Schizosaccharomyces pombe: one gene and its partner. The gene in region 2 interacts genetically with the main gene of each other region. Each region holds a gene or a part of one and is shown on either strand. Other genes may lie near its edges.

Evidence for each region.
Region 1: mutations in tea4 (region 2) and pal1 are lethal when combined (synthetic lethality), as found in Schizosaccharomyces pombe (one study listed by BioGRID).

The regions. Positions count from the first base shown.
Region 1 is NC_003421.2:2,394,489-2,401,408, forward strand, and holds pal1 (protein Pal1), read right to left. Parts: upstream 3,772-6,920; 5' UTR 3,661-3,771; coding exon 3,496-3,660; intron 3,250-3,495; coding exon 2,137-3,249; 3' UTR 1,708-2,136; downstream 1-1,707. Other genes in the region: arrestin family membrane adaptor Mug170, read left to right, coding at 187-836, 875-1,124, 1,183-1,514, 1,560-1,608; acyl-coA-sterol acyltransferase Are2, read right to left, coding at 4,467-5,885. UniProt on the Schizosaccharomyces pombe protein: Involved in cellular morphogenesis and cell wall integrity. Important for the maintenance of a cylindrical cell shape.
Region 2 is NC_003423.3:586,761-594,604, reverse strand, and holds tea4 (tip elongation aberrant protein Tea4), read right to left. Parts: upstream 6,247-7,844; 5' UTR 5,877-6,246; coding exon 3,411-5,876; 3' UTR 3,171-3,410; downstream 1-3,170. Other genes in the region: dynamin-like GTPase fzo1, read right to left, coding at 1-133; fap1 (L-pipecolate oxidase), read right to left, coding at 6,824-7,844. UniProt on the Schizosaccharomyces pombe protein: Cell polarity factor essential for the bipolar localization and function of structures containing the cell-end marker tea1 during the normal cell cycle.

The sequences.
Region 1 (6,920 bases), on a different chromosome or scaffold from region 2:
ATATTTCTTTTTGCGCTTGTTTTTTTACCAACTAAGTTACCGTTTTGTTTTGGAATGTTTACCATCGAGTATGATGTTGACGAGTAAACAACCTCATTGGCAAATATCAGTTTAAGATTTCTCCAACAACTATTTCCAATAAATAAAAATATACATTCATTTTGATAACAACCTAATATCGTGCTAATGACAGAAGAACTTTTTAGTAACAGTGAAACTTGCAGTTTGTCGGATCCATTGACATCTAAAACATTGTCAAGTATAGAAAATCCTTTTGATGATCCCTATATATTAAGTGAAGAGTCAGAAATATTAACCATCAAAACTGATGTGTTACGACCGAATATTCTGAATAGGAAATCGTCTTTTTATCCTGAAGCTGATGCACCAGTTCGAAAATCTAATTTACAAGTAAAAAAAATCTTTGAAAACCAAGTTTTAAATTGTGATGGTATAAAAGTAGCAATAACGATTCCTGATACTTCCTTAATAGCTGGATCCTTGTTACATGGCAACATTTGGTTATCCTACGAAGGGGCAAAAAACGTGGAAACCGGTGTTTGGATAAAGGAAATGTTTCTCGATTTCTATGGTATTTTGAATTTTAAAGGCCATTCAGAACCTTTCTATTCTATCTCTGAAAAGTACTCGTTTTGCAACCTTAAGACATCTGCACTGATTCTCTCAAAGGCAGCTTCTGCCAGCATAGGCAACAAGGGCCTTTTCCTTAAATGTTCTTGTAAAGTTGGGTTTCCTTTCTCCTTCATCGTTCCTTTGGATATAGGTCCAGGTACTTATCATTCATCGAAATTAGAACTGTTATACTATATTTCAAGGTAAAAGATTAAACCGAAAAAAGTAACTGACATCTTAGTACGCTGACTTTAACATCTCTGGATCAAAATATTCGCTGTACTCGTTGTACAATTCCTAAACGGGTAATCACTTCAATGCATAATAATATAGCGGAGCTATATAACCCGATCTCATGCATTAAAAGCCTACCCTATCTTTCATTAGAAGAAGCAAAAACTACCTTGGAGGTTCATACGGACAGATCCTTGTTTTTTAGTGGTCAAATCATCGATTTTACCATTTGCTACACTCATAATCATCACAGAAGGGTAAAGTCTAGTAAATTAATTAAACTAAAGATAACAGTTAATCGCTAACTCTCAAAAGATTCATAATATAAAAGCACGATTGCTGGAAACTCATATCTTTCACCCTAATACTCAAAATCATTACGGTGGTTATTGTATGAACCAGGCCGAAGAAACATTCGCGAGTTGCGGATACTTGAAGCGTTATCAAAAAACTAAGACGAAAACAAGGGCAAAATCAACTTGGAAAATTGCTAATAAATCTGTTTATTCCAATTTGGCACCGACTCTAAAAAACACAATCCACGCACAAATCAAAATACCTGAATTTTGCCGTTCTGTTAATTTAAAAGATCAGCTGAAAATTGATTATACCCTTGAAGTTTGTTTCTCAGCATTTTTTAAACCAAGGTATGTAATCCAATCATTGTTTAAGTTCACACGCTAACAAGATAGAATTTTATCAATACAAATTCCTATAACGATTTTACATTCCTGGAACTAACATCAGCTACCTATAACATGCAGAGTACGCTTCTATATATCTACTGCCAATTCACTTAGTGAAACTAGATTGTAAATGAACGAAGACTGCATTGTAGAAAAAATAGAGATCATGATTAAATTACTTAAAGTAGAGAGCAATCAAAATATCACCAGGTGAAAAAATTTCGAAAGAAGGAAAATGTAAAAGAAAAGCATCTGGATTTGTTAAAGTTATGCAGAACAAGTAGGCATGAAAAATGTAGACTTCAGACGAACTAGTGAATGTCGAGAAGAAGCAAAAGAGAAAAGGACAAGATGCGAAATATTAGGACAAAAACAAAGAATGGTAATAATAAGTATGCGGAAGATTAAAGCAGAAACTTCCAACAAACTGGACGAAGAATTGAACTAAGCTGATTCAATATTTAAAAGCAGGGGTACAGACGTATTAGATGTTGAGAAATTGGTAAACAAATAAAAAGGGGAATAGAGAAAGATGATACTCAAAGATGCTATTATAGTAAATAAAGTTTCAAGCCTGAAAAGCCTACGACTTTTTGTGGAATAATCGTCTAAAAAATCCCATTTTCTTGGGTTTGGAACGCTCTTTCGCAGTAAGCGGAAGAGACATTTGAGATTCAGCGTGTTGGGGATAAGGTCGTGTATTAAGTCCACCTGTTTTCCTACGAGAAGGTGGCGGTGGAGCAGCTGTAGGAGATGTACGATTACGAAGGCCAGTGTTACTGTCATCAGTATCAGATTCGTTCTCGTTAGAAATGGGGTCAAGTTGAGAAGGGGAATTAAGTGGAGATCTTCGGGTTCCCATGGAAGAGTGAGACCGATAATTAGATGGCCTATTCAAAGTATTTGGTGTACGAGACATCATACTAGCGCTACGATTTAATCCAAGTTTTCGAATGAGAGAATTTTTTCTTCCCAAGCCCGCTTTTTCCATTGCCAACATTTCTTCATTACGTGCAATTGCATTTTTTGAAGCCATCGCACCTTCTATACGGGTAGAGTCAGTTAAACCTGGAGTATCATTATTGCCAGATGAAGGAAATTCTTCTTCGATGCCAACAGATTTATAAGGAGATTGCAATATGTTTTTTGTACGCAAACTCTCATGAATGGCTTTTCTGCTAAAATCCTTAGGGACTGAAGGGTCATTATAAGTTTCCCCAACTTTCGGAATGGAATTAGCAATACTATCTTTTGGAAATGCGGCAACAGGTGCTTTCTTAGAATTTCGATTACGATGAGGTCGACAAGCATCAAAAGGACCATCGTGATGAAAGCTACCAGATCCATAAAGCCCTGTTACGTCCAAACGATCTATCTGATCTAATGGTTCTTTTGACGACCGACCAGGACGATGTGATCCCTCTCGTACAGACTTGTAGCGTCGAATGCTACCCCTGCTTTTCAAACTGGATTGGGTGGATGGTGAACTGTCGTTATGCGATGGAGAACGATGGCGACTAGAGCTGGCAACATGAGTACTACGAGCTCTAGCAATTTTCGAATATCTTGGAGGGGGGTCAAAAGTGCCCATCGAACTGTTAGATCGTTCGGCTAATGCCTCCGCAGATTTTTTAACGGGACTTGCTGAAGCAGAGGAAGCAGGAGATGGCTCCTTCTTCTTTTGAATACTATTAAACTGGTAAAATGTTAGTTTTTGAAACATATTAAAATTGAAAGCTGTGCTCGATTTTCGGCTCAACTTCATTGCAAACCGAAGAAACTCCTTGTCTAAATAAAATGTACGTTATGAGCGCTTTAAATTAGAAACTTAAAAACTCTTAATAGAACACTAATTTGGAAAGGTTTCAATAAATTTAACAAATCTTCACGTAACGAAGCAATGACCGAATTATATCTACTTCAGCCTCAAAAATTTACATACCAAGTCATCTGCCATAGATTCCATGACCGGATCAGCCACACGCTCTGTCTTGGGAGCTAAAAAAGGATTGTTACTGTTGTGCAGGGAAGACGTGTACACGCCATCCTCTTGAGGTGTCTGACTGCTTGTAGCAGTACTTAAAAAAGGGTTCTCTATTACCATCATCCCGTATTGCACCCAAACGATACCCTTGCGATTTCGTTTTGAGAAAGAGCACCTTGAAATACACAAGAGGTTTTTCCGAATCAAACTTCGAACTACAAGATATGGGTTCTTGGTGAGTTGGGATTCCAGTGGTAAAAATATCTACCCCTGCTTATAGGCAATTTACTGTACAGTGCTATTGCACATTGGGTTGCGTTATCTAGGTTTCTTGCTATAATAATTTTATTGTGCAAGACAGAAAAGTACATTTATTAAGAATGGGAAAACTGAATAAATCGAATATCCTAACCACTGACGATTAGACACATTAATTCGATTAATAACAGTGATGGTTATGTTAATGAAAATACGAGATGAGGAAACTTATTAATCAAAGCAATCATCTGGCTAAAAATTAAACGAACATCTGTGAATGTTAAAAATCTTAAGTAAACAACAAATCGGTTAACATAATTTTCAACGAAAAAAATGTTTTAAACCCATTTCTTTAATTCGTTAATTTAATCAGGATTCCATTTTATCATAAACAAGCAAATGAACCGACACAAAATGAAACGGAAGTTCCACAGAGGCACAAAAACTAAGTTTTACCAAAATTACTCTGCAGCCTTTTGACGTGTTCAAATAGAAATGGCATTTCCTACTTGCATTACAAAACAATTCATAAAATGTCATAAAGGAGCCCTTATTGGGCAGATGAAATGAGCCACAAAAAGTGTCAAAGATAGAAATAGTCACTAGAAAAAATAACGCATTGTAAAAAAAATCTAAGAGGTAATTATTCATAATGGAGACCCCTATCGCTTCTAAAATAAGATATAAAGAGCTGCAATAAGAGCGATACCAATTATGATAGAAAACCAAAACGCAATATTTCCCAGCAGTCTATGTCTTCGAACAAACTTCTGTCGCTGAATAATGATATACGGGATTTGAGTCATTTGAAAAAACAAACCGTAACCGCGGATTTTTAAAGTGATACATCCCATAACAAGTTCATGTAATACAGAGGAGACAAAGAACGTGAAAAAAGTCGATAAAGACTTTGACATGAAAGAGTTGAGGGGAACATAAACGTGGCGAAGGAGAAAGTAATGAACGGGCTTATTCCAGGTTCGGGCAAATTGATCCCAAGTCCAGCAATTCCACCAATCATCATAAAAGTTTCTATCGGCAAATCTAGTAATCTCTGCGCTGAAATTACAAACTCCTTCAAAAATGACCCAGAACACGAGGAGGAAGCTAAGCATAAATGGGAACATCAAAAATGCTACAGTATGGCCTAAACGTATAGCAAAATAAGTAGCAGATGCGTCTTCAGGAGCTTCAATAATGGTTCGAATGGCTTTAGCAAGTACAGGAACCATGAAATGATCAGAAATAATGACCAAAAGAAAGATACAACCAAACGTTCCCAAAGCGCATTCAATCAAATAATGAATTCGCACATGGGCGGTTCTTGGGTAGTATAATTGATAACATAAGCTGGGCATGAAAAGGAAATCCAAAGCATTTGGTATGGTTAAATTTTCCGGATAAGTATTACCATGATGGTTGAGACAATGTTCATAAAACTCAACTGAGGATCGTTCATCATCATCAAGATCGGTTTTTTTTGACTGAAGCTTATTTAACGAATGATAACAATAAGAATACCAACCGTTGACAACGTTATAGGAATGAAGCTTCATAAGGATTACCATAGAATGAAGAATAAACATAGCACGATGCGTCCAGGACCAGTTGCTAAGACAGCAGCGTAAAACACAATGGCTTAAAAAAAGTAAAATAAGAATGGAATAGAGGTAAACGCCTAAACCATACCACCGCAGATATCCCAAAGCAAAAATCTTTTGGAAAGGAAAAGCAAGTAGAAACATTGAAGACATAGCAAGGTCTGCCTTTGCCAGATCTAACAAATTAGACTGAAAGTATTTAAAAATAGTGCCAACAACTGGTCTTCCAGTCAATTCGAAATTTTCTAAAAAGCTCATGAAAATCATAATAGAGACAGCAACCCAAAATAACACAAAAAATCCAGTAAAGTCTACCGCATTACGTTGATAATTACGAGCAAAAATCGAGGGAGTAGGAGATAATTCCAGAGGTCGGTAAGCGGCCCTAGACCTTCGAAGGTCAATTTTTGAGGTTTCAGAAACACCTTTGAACGTCTGTTCCAAGTTGACATCCGATGGTTTGGATTTAGCGGGTGTTGCAGCAATCATCTTTAAATAACCAGCAATTAAAGCAACTAAGTGAATATATAACAAAAAAGATAAATATATAAAGAAAAAGATAAAACAAAAAAATAACGTAAAATCAGCAGCTACGTATCGCGAACAGTATCAAAGAAATTGAAAAAGAAGCGGATATGAACGTAGGAAGATTAAATTTATTTTTTGCTTCGCTTCTAAATAAAAAATTGAGGAATGAAAGCAAGAAACTTAGAAATGTAATCTATTGATGGAAGTTCCAACTTGGAATTTCAAGATGACAGAACTGGTATGACGAAAACTCCACAGTCGTGATTCCAAAAATAAAAATTCTATGCCAAATGTTCCACTATAGAATGGAAGTAAATAAAAAGCTCGAACTCCTAAGCAATTCACGTTCTATGCGATTTATGTAAGGAAAAGCCAAGTCTCCAGTTTCAAAATGAGCAAAGGAGTTGATAAGTTAGAATTGCGAGCTAAGACGATGAACCACCTGATCTCAGCAATATCTGCAATACTACACCACGTTATGTAAAATTTCGTTACGTATCACTATATATCACATGTCCTATTCATTTATCCGCTATATGTGATACGACATTGGCACTTGCTTATTGTAGCTTATTACCAAATGACTGACAGGTACAAACAAAAAAGAATGCTCAATCGAACCTTTTTCCCTTAGTTTACATATTATGAGCATTTCAATAATAATTTACAATAACACCTTAATACCCGATTTTCGCGTTACCTGCATATCGCAATATAGTAGTGCACAAATACAACTCACTGTGATTTAACGTGCCATTAAAACTGGTTACAAACTGCATAGTTAAGAAGCAAAGCCACATAGCGTGGTCAAGAACGAATAGAGAAACATAAATTCCAGATATTGCCCATCAATTAACAACTCCATATAGCAAATTCGATAGGATAATTCAAAAATTACACAGATAACCAAAGGAAGCTAGGTATTCTTTTAATTTGTGCAGTATTGGTGAATGCATCAGTTTTGAGCGTCGTTTAAAGCTGCATCCTATTTTGTTA
Region 2 (7,844 bases):
GGTTATACTCGAACTGATGACGATTAGTTTCATCTTTATACTGCTGAATATTGTTTGAAGTATATCCATTATTTAATCTTCCCGATTCACCATTCTGTTCGGCTACTGATAATTGCCTTGCACTCTTCTCCATATCATTTAAAGTTGAATTTTGCGTTTATATAATTGAACTTGATCCCTAAAGATTGGAAATTTCATGCAAAGAGCAACTTCCTTAAAAATTAATACATATGCGTTGCAACCATATACTGTTTGCATAACACCTTAGTACGAATAATGAAAAAAAATGGGAGCAACATATTAGTAGATGAATATGAGAAAATAAAGACATCATCTTTCTACATATAAAGCTTTAAAAAAGAAATTTCTATTATATCCTTGAGCACAACAATTCAAAAATTTACATTTGTATCATCATAAATAAGACGTAGGAACGAAATTTCAAGTATACCGTATACTGTTGACATCGACGACGTTTGATATCTGTTTTAGCGATACATAAATCATATAGCGTTGTGCGTTATGTTAACTGACAATATTATATTTATTGTTATAAGACGCCTAACAGTATCAGTCACCGATTTAGCTAATAATTGAACTGAGGAATGAGATGCAGCGACTAATTCCATTTATAATCTTCTAAGTCTTTGTTCTTAACTGATGTCTATATTAAAAAACATGATTTTACAAATATGAAATTAGTGACACGCAACGTAGCGAACCAATTTTAACAGTATGCTGTATAAGGAAAACTAAGTTGGGGTGAATAAAAAGGGCAGTGACAAAATAAATGTGTCAGAAGTAATTCACTGCCTCGTTCAGTTTTTTCGTTCTTCTTTTTTTATGCCATTGTTTGAAGGAATTAGTTGGAAATTTGTTTGAACGATTTTATTATTTTGTTAAAAAGTCTTTAAAGCGATTGGAATTGGACTACAAAGTGAATATTCTTGATTTCGCTGTTTGGTTTGTCGCAATCATAGCAATTAATTCGCGCATGTATTTTATTAAATAAAGAATGATTTTATTATTATGAAGAATAATTACACTTCTTTGAAAAGTCCTCTAGATGAAGAAGATGAATTGAAGACAGATCATGAAATCGATTTGGAAAAAGGACCCCTCCCAGAATATGATTCAGAGGAGGAAAGTACATTGCCTCCATATTCAGGTAAGAATTGTAAATAATAAGAAAGGAATTACTCAATTGAAAGTTGAAACTTGCCAGTGCTGTAAAATAACTTGGATGTGATCATTGTTTACAGTTGGCATATCCAACACTTGATCAGAAAGATGGGTAAATTTAATATGATATCTTTTTAATTGTGTATGCTAATTATCATTAGGTTATGAGGCCAAACAGCAAGTGAATGAATACACAGCTGTTCCATTGCGTGAGATGAACCCCGAAAGTGAAGCCTAATTATATTGTTAACTTTACTAATTGTATGATAAAGTCGCTTTTTACACGAGGCTTCTTTTCTTCATAAGAATGTGCAATAAAGAAGCGCCTTTATGATTGTGATTTACTCAAACAAATCATAAATCTGTTTAAAGTATGTCACATGTATTTTTATTGCATATTTCATTTCCTGACGAATTGGATGAGCAAGTGCATTGCTTGAAAGGTTCCGTGAATAACATACACTGGGCATTGAATATTATAATAATGGTTTTATTTATTCGTTTTAAAATAGCAGTTCACTAATTGACTGTTATCATCAACTAATGAAATCGAAAAACTCGTTGTTTCGCCTTGTTAAATTCACAATTTCATTGTCGTTTATTGCATTCATTTCTTCTTCATCTTGATTCTTAATGAATCAAACTTAATTATCATTTTTTTCCTTTGGTTTAGTGGTTTACTTTAATACAAACAAAATTAATGTTTACAAAATAATGAACAGCATAATAAAATATTGTGATTTAGAACGATGATTTGTTATCGTAATAATGTAGTTATTGTCTAATGTGAGAATCCACTGTAACGATTAACAGATTTCCTCTAATTTTTTAAGCTACTTATTACTTTCTGTTGCAAGTAAAAAATCATGAATTTTAAGGCTCAGTGTATAAGGGTTTGCATATAATTCAGTTCTCGTTTTGTGCTGCATATTTAATTTTTTGAGTAGTCAAAAAAATTAGCACAAGTTGTAAACTTCACATTGTCCACTCGTGGTGGCGTGTTAAAAAATTACTTGATGTTTTAAACTAATACTTCTTATTTCGCATTCATAAAAAACAATGTTGAGAATAATCATGTATGGTGGTTGTACAAATGAAAACGGGTCAATTCAAAATGCATTTCATATCCGTCTCATTCTAAATTTTTCGTTATTTAGTCGCTTCGAATTATTGACTTTGTTTACTGTACGAACTGTTTTCTTTATTTAGCGCATATTGAAGATATTTGCATACTTTTTAGGAACTTTGTTTCTTCCTACAAACTCAATTCGTTACAGAAATAACATTGCTTTGTCTTTCCAATTAATAACAAGTCGTAAATTTGTAAAGGAATAAAAATTTTATTGTTCATTCTTACTTTTCCATGTTCCTTTACATATCTTCGTGCAATTACTAAAAGAATATTAAAAGTCAAATTTGAAAATTTCGCCCTTCAATTATGATGATGGTGAGAAATTGGTAGTCAAGATGCTAATTATCATCTAATTTAGCGTGAAAATTACCAGTGAAAAAACATAAATTATTTATTATGAGACAATCAATATGCCTATCGCTTACAAAATATACATTTAAATACACCGTTGGTTTGATGATGAATCCGATACCTTAAAAGTAGAAGCAGATGATATTCTCATATTAATGATTAATGAACATGTTCATCGTTTGTTAATATCTCATTTTTTTCGTTTAAAAGAGAAGAGAAATATTTTTTAATAAGAATCGCTATAAATCGTGCTAATTTTGTTTTTTAATACCCTATTGAATTTGATTCATCATGCCACATAAGTAAAGTACACTGGCTTATTTTTACGGATGCATAAAATCTATCATACCCTCAAAGCCTACTACTATCTGCTTGAGTAGTTTACATTTTCACTGCTCGCATTACTGTACAAAAAATATGATGCAGCGATACTATAATTTGAAATGGCATATAAGATAATTACTAGCTCATTTAATACTTCGGTAGATTTTACTTAAACACATTTATTTTATAGCGCTCAATAATCCGAATCATACCCGCACATTGAATTTTAGACCTTTATACAACTATGGTATGCTGTTAGTTATTAAAAAATATTATTAACAAGAAAAAAAAGTCAAACATAAAGACATTAACAAACAAATTTTTGAAACAGTTTAATCAAACAGAAAACTGATTTATAACGAGTGTAAATAGTTTGATAAAGGGGAAAAACATGGTATAACTTTTAAATTAATCAAAGATTTCAGCGATTCGTATTTAAGAGGGAGGCCATCTCATCTGATAAACCCTTCAATACGTTAGCAAAAATATCATCCAAGTCCGAGGACACCGATTCACCCTCGATATTACGAGAAACTCGGCGGGATGCCCTTACTCCCGCTGATTTTACACTCCAATATAGCCCGCTAAGAGAGTCTGGATCCAATATAAACTCTCTCAACCGACGATTAAATTCTTTGTTTTTAGTACTAACGTGGTCGTTATCGTACGCATGGATATCAGAAGCATGAGCCGAATCAACGAATGGCACCGAAGAGGAGTTATTATTTAATTCCGCAACCACAGATTGCTTGAATGGATTTTCATCATATTGCAAAGAAGCAGGAGAAGTGATAAGAGAGGAAAAGGAACTAGAAGAGGTAGATTCCTCTGTGTTCTTTCTTGGTAGCAAATCCTCATCGTGTGAAATCGAAGAGCTCGGGATTGCACTTGAAGCATCTAACTCAGGTGTAGGTATAACCATTTCCTCATTACACTCCAATGGAGCCGGGGATTCGTGTAGTAGCTCACGCATTTCGCTTAATTCATCTGCTAAACTTGTAAATCCACCCGCAAAACTTCTTCTGTTTATTTCGTTATTTACATGATGGTTACTCAATGTTGATAAATCTATTGAAGATTGAGAAAATGCTTTACGCTCCGCTGTTATGTATACAGAAGACGTTGTGCACTGTGCATCACTTTGCGAGGAAGAATCAACAGGTAAAGACATCTGACGAAGAAGCGAACTTGGTGATAATTCAACCTTATCTGCTTGCTTTCGGTTTTCGCTGTCTTCTTCGTCATCCTTTTGGAATCCTTTTGTTGGAGAGGATGGAGTAGATGAAGAGTATAATCGAGGGGAAAGAAGCTTTTCAGATGGCATTTCAATCGATACCGAATGTCGAATAGGGTACACTTCTAATTGTTTTAAGGATTGAACTGATAAATTATTGGGCATTTGACCAGAAATTGGTTCCTTTTCTACATCGTTTGGGGCATCCTGAGTAACATTAGATGTGTCAAAAGAGTCACTCTGAGAAACTATAATTGATTTTGGTGCATTCAATGAGATTTCCTTGTTATCACGAGATACATCATGAGTAAAGTTAGAGGATTCCGATACGGCGGAATAAGAAGAAGGCCGCAATGATTTATCAGTATTAGATGTAGACGAATAAGAAGAAAATGAAGCATTCGATTGCATTGCGTCAACTGATAGTGATCTTCGCAATGGAGAATCAACGGTTGCAGATGAAGCAGTTTTATGCTTATTTGCTATCCAAGTACTGTAAAGTGAAGGATCAGACTGGGTGGCATTGCCATATAATTCCTTGTTTCCTGCTATTGAGATATTTATTTTACTAATATTCGAATTTTCAGCATCTGGGTAAGCTGATGAGAATTTAGAGTAGGGGGAATGTGAATTTTTCGAATCTGCAGTAGTGGAAGAGCCATTAATTTCTGTTTCAACAATCTCAAGACCAAGGGGGGATGTACTTTGAAAAGAAGTAGAGTTAAACTGGTTAAACCCACCTTCCAGTTCAGTAAGATCCACGTAAGCAGGACTATCAGTTACATGATCCTCGGATTCGGAACGGTACTCAGCAGAGAGAGAAGAATCACTACTGTCCGAAAATTCTATTTCAAGACCATTCTCTGCGACAGTTCGGTTTACCATTGCCTCATAATCATTTTCAGAATCCATTTCATCATCGGAAGAATTAGAAGAACAAGTAAAGGTAACGCGTTTTATACGAAAATTTGGGGATGGAGCCTCCAAGGTTTTTTCCACAATATCTAAAGGCGGGAGAGTCACAGACTGCTGAGAATTGGACGTTTCCGAATTTTTATATTTATTTAATCGAGCCAAACGCTCTGAAGGAGTTTCAATGTATTCAGCAGGTAAATAGCCTATAGCCAAATTTTTGCACATTTTTACAAGCCACCAATAACTATTAGAATCATCTAATAAAATCATCATGTCTCCTTTAGTAGCATCAACTTGTCCTTCAACAGTAGCTTCGAAGCCTCGAATGGCATGAACAAAGTTGCAATCAATAACCTCTTCGTGAATAGATGGGGAAGAACTCAATTCTGCCTCATATAAAGCGTATTCTTCCTCTTCGTCCATAAAATCATCCTCATCTTCAGAGCGAAACTCATCATCTTCCACTACTTCATTATATTCAGTCCCACAATCCTCAAATTGAGACGATGTTAATGTAGTGTCTTCTTCTTGAGAATCGCTAATTTCTTGCGACGCTACAGTTTGGGGTTCACTATTTTCTCCTGATATAATCCTTTGTATCTCGAATGACTGCTCCAGATATTCTTCCGGAGAGTAACGACTTTCTATTATAGTGCTATCATTCTGTTGTGTCGGGTCAAAATGACTTTCCATAATTTCCATGCTGTCAGCACTACTGGCACTATTCATGTGTAACATATTGAAACAATGTAGTTAGCTCTCATGAACTTGAACAAATGTGCAAAAACAGCAAACACACTTTTCAGGTCTCAAAAACCGCTACTCCTAATGATAAAAACAAACACGTTGCAAAGGGATAAGAAACTCTCAACCTCATACAATTTATAACTGGTAAAAATTCAGGATACTGGCTAAAACGCTAGTGAAAACGGAAATACCGATCCTGATGAACATACACTCAAGTTGGGTTGATTAGAACGTCAATCGTAACAACGAATCCAGCAAAATCTTTTTGAAAATAAAACGATCTTGCTCTTCAAAATGTTAACATTCCAATAACTAGTGTAAAAATATAATATATTAACAAACTAAGTCGCCTCTAAATATTGCGGTAAGATATGCGTACTTGATGCTACGTAAATCCGAGATTGGCAGATAACGTAACAGTAAAACGTCGTTTAACCGATACAACGAATAAAAGCGAGTACGGTATTTGCATTTAAACAAAAAGCTTCTTGATCATTTTATTCTATTTTGATTTTTTTTTTTATGTTATTTCTAATTAGATTGTCAAATTTAATTATTTATAAATGTTTGAATTGCATCTAAGTATCAAAAACAACCTCAGTAAGCTGTGACGCTTTAGTTCTCTTAAAGCCAACGAGTTAGCTATATGATGCATATCTAAAATAATTGAAAAAAAGGTTTTACTTAGCATGCTTTGTAATATTAATTCAGGACATAAAGTTCGATGTAAAGGGTATAGAAAATGTCCCTGTTTTTATTCGAAAACAGTAAACCGACATAATCGTCTGGATGTTATAAAGTTGATGTTAATTGTTAATGTGTATACATTCAATGCTCGTAATATTTCGAATGAAGAAGAATCAATTAGTATTCAACACAAAAATAAGGTAGCCTAGAAAGATAGACGCTAGCCTTTCTTTTGTTTAGCATTGCACATCTTAGCTTAGCTCTTGTCGAGAGGGTCCAGCTCGGCTGTGGTCTAAAGCAGCAAACTCCAAATTTTCTTTCTTCCATCTCCACTTCTTCAATAAGGGCTCCTCTAACTCACGAAACATACACCCTATGCTATACTTCCCGAGGATTGGAAAGAATTTGAATCCATGGCCTGAACCACCTGTGCATACAAACAGATTTTCATAATCTGGATGATAATCAAATACAAACTCGGCATCGGCTGTGTCGGTATAATAACAAATACGGGTTTTGTAAAATGGCCTTTGACTAATTTCTTCGCCATAAGTACGTTGAAGGTTTCTGCGTAAATCTAATTCCGCTTCCTTGGGCAGGATAGGAGAAACGAGAGGTTTCTTTGGTGGAACAGATTCGACTTTTCCGGATTTAAGATTTTGCATTCTCGTAAATCCGTATCCATGGCGTGCAAATTTTAGATAACCATCGGGGGTAGGGGGAAAAATATAAAATCCAGTATCAAAATCTAAGTATACAGGATTTGTCAAAAAGCGGATGTACTCCTCAGGAGTCAATTTTATGTATGCGACTGGTTGACCGGTTGCCAAGAATCGTGTGTGGTCATTAGGTAAAAGAGATGCAGTCCATGCACCTGTAGCAAAAATAAGTTTTTCGGCCATGTAAGCTCCAGTAGTAGTCCTCACGCCTTTAACAACGTTTTCTTCTGTTATAAGCTCTTCAACAGTTCCCTCAGGTCCGCTAATGAAAGAAACACCGGCATGTGCTAAGTAATTAACTACGGATTTCACAGACTGCTCAGCGTTGGCCCATCCAGAACTAAAATTGGCATACCCAGCTTCTCCATCATTCAGCTCGCCAATCCATTTTGGAAAAAGTTTCCGCAATTCTTCTGTAGTTTGAAACTTTGCTGCTGACACACCCATTTTTGTCAGGTTTTCCAGACTCATGTCCCGATACTCAACATTGTCACGGCCAACAAACATAAGTCCTGATCCATAAAATTGCTCTTTAAAAAGTGGATTTGTGCGC